2 linked regions of the Cricetulus griseus genome follow. The protein of the gene in region 1 purifies or fractionates together with the protein of each later gene. This does not show direct contact. Links are inferred from orthologs where the notes say so. Each region holds a gene or a part of one and is shown in the gene's direction. Other genes may lie near its edges.

Region 1 (4,327 bases):
ACACACCCCTACCCCTGACTGTGGGCTGTTCCATTCCTGGGCATGTGGGTCTGAGTTGTGTAAAGAAGGTAGTAGAGCAATCCTAGGAATTTCCCCATGGTCTCTGCTTACTCCAAGTTCCTGCCTTAAGTTCCTTCATTGCCTTTCCTCAGTATCTTACAAACCCTTCCCCAACTTGTTTTTGGTTAGTGTTTTATCGAAGCAACAAAGAAGCAAACCAGGACGTCAAGGAACATTGAATTCAAAATTTAAAAAGCCTCTGTGTTCAGGTTTTATGATTTTACATGTTCCTGAAGATTCCAAACATGCACACACAAAACTCTCAGGAGCTAATAAAATAAATTAGCAAAGTAGCAGGATATAGGGTCACAAAATCAGTTGCATTTCTGTATCCTAACAAGGAACAGTACACAGTACCACTTGGTAGGTTCTGCTCCTTTTCACCACGTAGTTCTCCCAAATTTGCTTCTCTGCTTCTGATAGATCCTGCTGTGCCCTACCCATAGGTTTCCTGGGTTCTCCAGAATCTCACTTCCCTGAGTTGCCAAGTAGCCCTTCTTCTTCTCTACTAGCTTCTCCAAGATCTCCCAACTCCAATGATTGACAAGAGCTGATTCCAAACATGCAGAGAGCCACAACAGAAGGAGGTGGTGGTGAGTCAGGCGGTGTTGGCACACACCTTTAATCCCAGCGCTCTGGAGGCAGAGGCAGGCAGATCTCTGTGAGTTCGAGACCAGCCTAATCTACAAGAGCTAGTTCAGGACAGCCTCCAAAGCCACAGAGAAACCCTGTCTCCAAAAAAAAAGAAGACCAAGAATTCAGCCGACCCTTGGATAATGACTCAGTGTAGTCAGTAGTGGATTCTCAAAAGTGGTTTAGGGGATCGTGTGGTTGCAAGTAAGTGCTTTTGAGTCCAGCACCTGGAAGGCGGAGACAGGTGAATCTCAGACTACATTGGGAGATACCCTGTCTTAAGAAAAGCAAACCAACCAATCAAAAGCCACGAATGTTTTATGTATTAGACAGCATGGGGTGCTTAAATGAGGAAGCACTGGGTTCATTTCTAGCCAAAACCAAAACACAAGAAACCAAAGCAAAAAAAAAAAGAAAGAAAAAAGAAAAAAAAGAAATTACATAGGTGTACTAAGTAATGTAAAGGCGAATTCATTGCAACTGCAAATGAAGACGATTTCTGGAATTTGAATTTGGAGACAAGAAACCTGTTCACTGTCTTCTAAAAGCTTTGTATTTATTTTGCATTTCTATTAAAGACAATATGCCAACGAATGCGTCCTTCAGCAGAAGGAACAAAAGACAAAAGGAGGAGGGGAAAAAAAAAAAAGGAAAGAAGGCGTGGAGACAGGAACCCCACGCCAGGGGTAGAACCGCTTGCGTCCCCCAGCTCTGCCCAGCTGGGGAACCTTAGGGGCCGGGGGAGGGAGAGACCCGGAGGCACGCGAAGGCACTTCCGGTGCGAGCGCGCGATACTTCCCGGCTGGTCTTCGGTCCAGCCGCCATTCCCGAGGCCGTGCGGCCGGCCGGCGTTTCATGTGGGCGTTTCCTCTTCTTCACTCCAAGAACCTCGCCCGAGGGTGAGGAGCTGGCGGGCGCCTCGGTACGGGCTGCTGAAGGCGGGAGGGCGGGCGCCTTGGTGAGGGCGAGCGGGCGCCTTGGTGCTCTCGGCGCGGCCTGGAGGCCGGAGCGTACCGTGGGCTCCTCCTGCTTGCCGCCTCGATGGCCGGCCGGGGTTGGAGGGGCCAATGTGGGTCTCGAATTTGCTGTAAAGCTGCTCTCCAGACTCCCCAAGGACCGGTGACCCTCAGCAGAAGCCACACCCCCACGTGGACTACCGACGGGGTTAGCCTTGTCCCGGGAGCCCAGCCCGGTGTTTCCGAGTAAGGGCCAACCCTTTGGCACTTTCCGCGGAGTGTAAATTGGGACCAGCCCAGCGTTGCCTCTCTTTTAAACTTAAGGTCGCTCGGTGCCCCCCAGGTAAACCAATCGTGCTTGTCAGGAACTCGGAGCAGTGAAGTTACTCTGAGGACCTCAATGGAGCACAGGTGATGCGCAAATCGCTCTGGAGCATCAAGAGCGGCCTCGCCTGTAAACCGTGGACGTCCTAAATTAGGCTGGGGTTGCGGCTCGCTGGTTGAGCCCTTGCTTAGCAAGAGTGAGGCCTTGGGTTCCATCCCGGCACTAGGGAACAAAAAGTATCAGCCGTTACAAATTACCCCACTAATTAACGCAAATTGTTAATAGAGTCGGAAAAAATATGTAGGAACGTGGGAGTTCTTTGTGGTTTCTGTTCGTTTTTCTTTTAAACACAAAACCAGTCAAAAATTTATAACCTTAAAAAAAAAAACAGCTATTCATAAAGAACAGTGTTACATAGTATGTGTGATCAAAAATAATTTGGGAGATGAAAGAGTTCATCTTACAGGTGGTAGTCTGTTGAGGGAATTAAGGGCAGGGACTCAAGCAGAAAACACAGAGTGAAACTATTTACTGGCTTGCTCCCAGCCTCAGTTCTGCTCTCTTTCTGATCCAGCAAAGGGATGGTACTTCCTATATCTATTGAAAATCAAGAAAATGCCCCACATTTTCTTGTCTATAAACCAATCAGATAGACATCTCTTCATCTGAGGCTCCCTTTCCCCAGGGTGTCGACAGCCAGTCAGCTTACACGTGTTCATTGTTAAACTTTCAATATCAAGATGCATTATTAAAGATTTACTTATTTATTTTATGGCTATGTTTTATCGACTTTATGCTAGAAGAGGGCATCAGATCCCATTATAGATGGTTGTGAGCCACCATGTGCTTGCTGGGAATTGAACTCAGTACCTCTCGGAGAGCAGCCAGTGTTCTTAACCTCTGAGCCATCTCTCCAGCCCCCAAAATGTATTTTTAAAAGATGATCAATAAGGCTGGGCATGATGGCATACACCTTTAATCCCCAGCACTCGAGAAGCAGATTCAGCCTGGTTTAACATAGTGAGTTCCAGGACAGCAGAGCTATGCAGAAAGGCCTTGTCTTTTTTAAAAAAAAAAAAAAAAAAGACCCAACTATCAAATAGTATTTGGTCTCAAGGAAGAAAGTGTGTGGGGTAGATGTGAGACAGATACCTTATAATGTACCATTGTATAGAAGACTACTGTGCCTCTGCCTCCCGAGTGCTGGGATCAAAGACGTGCGCCACCAACACCCGGCTTTAGTGGGTTATTTTTGCAGTTAGTGTTGGCAGTGCTGGAATCTACGCTCTAGTCTGTGGGCATTGTTAGCAAAGATTCGGAATCGGGCCTTTTAAGAGTTACTTTCTCTCAAGAAAGGGTATGGAGTTGAGTTGGTGGGGAGGATCTGTGAGGAGTTGGGGAAGGCAAATCACGATCAGAATGTATTGAAGGTAAACAATTTTTTTCATTTAAAAAGCCCTTAAGAATGCTAACAAAATTAAAAAGATGGAGTTCCTTTCTCAGCTTTTTTCTCTGAGAAATGAAGAAGTTGGGCCCAAGTCCTCTAGGTCATTTTGGTCCTGTATTGATTGCTAATTTCTCATTGTACTACTCGACAAAACACCTGGTTCTGAAAGACCCCCGGGAACTCAGGCCCCCAGGACCTCTGTCCAGGAACTTGGCCACCCCAATCACCAGATGGAGTCGAAAGTTTGATGCAAACTGCAGGAGGCTTTATTGTAGTTGTTTAACGCTGGTCTTTCATCCACCCACCATGGCGGATGGCTAGGAAAGACAGCTCGAAGACTCTGCATAGAGATCTTATAGGGCAGCGTAAGGGGAGTGTCAAGGGGTATGCACAGGCTCAGGATTGGTGTGGCTCCAGGCTTGGAGGGTTTGCCCTGTGTTGATTGGTCAACTGGTTGTTATGGCCGATAGGCTCTCCCAGGGTGGTTGCTCTGCGTGTCATTGTTGTGCACTTGTCCGTAAAGCACACCCAGAGCCGTAAAGCATGGCACCACCAGCTAACTTCTGATTGGTTTGCTGCCACGAGGCAGTCACCTAACCTCCTAGTGACCAAAGCAAGGTGTTCGGCTGCTATGGCTGCTGAAACGGGGAGCTGGTGCCTTCAGTTCCAATTCATGATAAAGCATTTTATAAAACTTTTCTGGGGCTGGGAAGCTGGTTCAATGATTAAGAAAACTTCTTCTTGCAGAAAACCCAGGTTTGATTCTCAGCACCCACAGGGTAGCTCACAACTGTCTGTAGCCCTAGTTCCGATGCACTCTTCTGACCTCTGTGGGTACCAGGTACACATGCAGTGCACAGACATAAATGTAAGCAAAGTACTCAGATACATAAATTTTTCAAAAAG
Region 2 (3,652 bases), on another chromosome or scaffold:
GATAATCCAGACTGTGGGTACCATTTAACATGATTAAGGAAGAATTCTTTTAAAACGATTATGGTTCAGCAGTGTGGGAATTTTTAAAACTAGATTCTCTGTTGAGCACCTCTGACTGCATATTTCTGAGCCTAATTTCCATTTGTGCTGCCTTGTCCTGGCTTTCCTGGGAGATGAATAGTCCTCTGTGTTCTGAGGAGGCTTCATGTTGATTCAGAATCTGGGGCCAGACTTCTTTCCCCTCCTCTTCCTTTGGCCCAAAGTCAACTTCAGTGAAGAGGCAAGGTACCTCCATAACTGTTTGGGTTAGTCGAGCCCTGGGAATTACAGACTAGTCCAATGACTAATTTTGAATTTTTTTCCCTCTGCCCCCTTTCCCTTCTATTCCCAAATGAGCTTGCTAAAAAGGAGGCTTAGTGTTTTTGAGCTGTCAGCCTTGTTTTTGTGAGCTGATGGACATGCTAAAGGGACAGACTCAAGTTGTTTAAGGGAAATGTACCAAGTCACTAGAAATGTGGTGAGAGATGGTTAACTGCCGTGTGTGTGTGTGTGTGTGTGTGTGTGTGTGTGTGTGTGTGTGTGTGTGTGTATGTACACGTACACGCTGAGAAGAGACTGACCAAAATGCTCAGAGTATGGAAAAGTTACTTTTGGGTGTTTTGTGGGGGAAGGTTTCTTTTTTTCTTTTTCTTCATTTTTATAAAAACATGTATTCGCCTCAGAGGAAAAGGATTTTTATTTTTTGGTTCCTTTAATTGAAGGTTTTCCACATTTTCCTTTGAGTTCCTGGCTCACAAGTAGATGCAGAAATGGTCATGAGTAGCATGTCATGCTACTTGGTTTTTTGAATATTAAAATTAAAGGAATGTGTCATCTAATTTGATCTCTTCAACTGAAGAGAAGTTGTTGTTAGGGAAATGTGGATTGACCCATTTTAAAATTAAATCTGTAGCCCTGTCTTAGAATAATTGTAGACCAAAAAGAAGGGTATGAGACTGACTAGTATTGTACCCTCTGTTCCATCAAGAAGTGGCAGTTATAACCCTCACGGATTGTAACCGTTTTATCTTTATCCCTTTTCAGGAACCTGGTGGCCTTAGTCCTTCAGGTGGATCAGCGTGCGACATGGGAAAGAAAACCAAGAGGACAGCTGACAGTTCTTCTTCCGAGGATGAGGAGGAGTATGTGGTGGAAAAGGTGTTAGACAGACGCATGGTTAAGGGGCAAGTGGAGTATCTGTTGAAGTGGAAAGGCTTTTCTGAGTAAGTGCTTTCTTTTTCAGGCATTAGGACTCTGTAGAGGTAGAAAAATTTACCCAGAGCCACTGTCTTTTTCCCATTTATACACTTTCATAAAAATCAAGAGAGTCAATAGACCACAATAGTCTCCCATTGTGGAGCTGATGTTTTAATAATCTTATATTTGAGGGGTAATTTAAGAAATTGGTTGGGAACACAAATTTGGGAGCCAGATAGTCTGGGACCAGATTCTTGTTCCACCCTTTAAGATATAGGTGGATGAACTTGGCTAATTTCTTTTATTTTTGTTATTTAAAAAATTCTTAGCTGGTTGGTGGCGTACACCTTTAATCCCAGCACTTGGGAGACAGGCAGATCTCTGTGAGTTTGAGGCCAACCTGGTCTACAGAGCTAATTCCAGGCCAGCTAGGGGTGTTATACAGTGAAATGCTGTTTTGAAACCAAAAAGAAAAAGAAAAGAAAAAAAAATATTTTCTTGCTGGGCTGGGTGATGATACACACCTTTATTCCCAGAAAGGGGGGGGCATGGGTTTGAGGCCAGACTGGTCTAAAGATAGTGTTCCGGGACTGTCAGGGCTACACAGAGAAACCCTGTCTCCGAAAACACACATAAATTTTTTTTTTTTTTTTTTTGTGTGTGTGTGTGTGTGTGAGTCTTTTACCTGCATGTATATCTGTATACTGCATTTGTGTTGTCTGGTGCCCACAGTGCAGAGAGCGCATCAGATCAGCTGGAACAGGAGTTGCATATGGTTGTGAGTGGCCATGTGAGTTTTGGGAGCCAAACCATGGTTCTCTGGGAGAGCAGGCAGTGCTCTTAAATACTGAGCTATTTCTTCGGTCCATTGTTTAATTTTATAATCTTTTCATTTTTTCCCCTTTAATAAAATAGGGACAAGAGGTGGGTGTAGTTTAATGGTAAAGTGCTTTCACCTAGCATACTCAGGGTTCTGGTTTGATTCTCAGGTATGCCAGAAAAAGAAAAGAAAAGAAACAGACAAAGACAGAGATAAGACATACATAGTACTTAGAGGTCTCAATGAGTGTGAGTAGACCACTTGTTATGGCAAGTGTGAGCATTTGAATTTAGATACTAGAACCCATGCAGAGTTAGGCACATGCATCTCTCCCTGTGGTCCCACACTGAGATTGAGACTGAAACAAGAGAATCCCTGGAAGCCTGAGGGGTAACTAGCCTGGCATACCTCGCAGTGAATAAGTTTAGAAGGTGGGGACCTACAACTGAGGTGGTCTCAGACTTCCAGTCATACACACCCACACTCATGCAGACAAACAGGAATATACACTTAATAGATACACATGTGCATATATAATAAACGATTTATGAAAAGAAGCCAAGGCTTTAATCCCAGCTCTCTGAGTCAAGTGGATCTCTGTGAGGTCCAGGTTAGTGCTGAAAGCATTGTACTACTATGCCCAGTTTATAACTAGCATTTCAATATAAGTGCTTTTTTGTTTGTTTAAATTTTTAATTTCTAAGGGGCAGGTCACTTTCACTTTCTTGTGTGAGTCAAAGTCTCTTGTTTTGGTTGTGAGCAGGATATCTGAGGCTAGCTTTCAGCCAGTTCTGTCTTTGCCCCCGCATCTTGCAGTAGGAAGACCAGCACATCCAGCTTTTTAGTTCCAGGGACTGAACTCTGGTCTTCAGGCTTGGATAGGAAGTGTATTTACCTACTGAGCCATTTTCACAGCCTGACATCACAACTTTATCTTTAGCAGAAGATATATAGCTCAGTAGTGGAGTGTTTGCCTAGTGTATATGAGGAATTGGGTTTTGTTCTCTTGGATTTTTGGTTTGGTTTGGTATTTTGTTTGTTTGTTTTTGTTTTCGAGTCAGAGTTTCACGGTCCTTGGCTGTCCTGGAACTAGCTCTGTAGACCAGACTGGCCTGGAACTCAGAGATCTGCCTGCCTTTGCCTCCCTAGTGCTGGGGATTGAAGGTGTTTGCTACCACCTGGCTGGGTTTTAATCCTCATTACCACAAAAAGCAAACAAAAACAAAATGCAATAAAAAACAACAGGTAGAAGTAAATTTGCTAAAATAGTCAATGTTTTGCCAGTACTTTAAAGTTAGGTCCCTTCAGGATCTATTGAAAGTTATTTCCTTTCATGATTTAACATTATTCTTATGGAGTACTGGGCATTTTAGGTAAGTTGATTCATGCATAACAGATTATTTAGCATCTGTTATACCAGAGTGCTGCTTTGTTTTTTGTTTTTTGTTTTTTTTTTTTGCTTCCAGACAGGGTTTCTCTGTATTGCTTTGGAGCCTGTCCTGCAATTTGCTCTGTAGACCAGGCTGGCCTCTAACTCACAGAGATCCATCTCCTGCCTCTGTCTTCTAAGTGCTGCAATTAAAGGGGTGTGCCACC

The links.
Region 2: the proteins of Champ1 (region 1) and Cbx5 purify together in Homo sapiens (affinity purification with mass spectrometry; 6 studies listed by BioGRID and IntAct, with this or other methods). This does not show direct contact. The link is inferred for Cricetulus griseus from reciprocal best matches to the Homo sapiens genes CHAMP1 and CBX5.

What each region holds. Positions count from the first base shown.
Region 1 is NW_023276807.1:67,009,570-67,013,896, reverse strand, and holds the start of Champ1 (chromosome alignment-maintaining phosphoprotein 1), read left to right. Parts: upstream 1-1,455; 5' UTR 1,456-1,592; exon of another isoform or gene 1,593-1,615; intron 1,616-4,327. UniProt on the Homo sapiens protein: Required for proper alignment of chromosomes at metaphase and their accurate segregation during mitosis. Involved in the maintenance of spindle microtubules attachment to the kinetochore during sister chromatid biorientation.
Region 2 is NC_048595.1:399,591,986-399,595,637, reverse strand, and holds part of Cbx5 (chromobox protein homolog 5), read left to right. Parts: intron 1-1,083; 5' UTR 1,084-1,125; coding exon 1,126-1,262; intron 1,263-3,652. UniProt on the Homo sapiens protein: Component of heterochromatin that recognizes and binds histone H3 tails methylated at 'Lys-9' (H3K9me), leading to epigenetic repression. In contrast, it is excluded from chromatin when 'Tyr-41' of histone H3 is phosphorylated (H3Y41ph).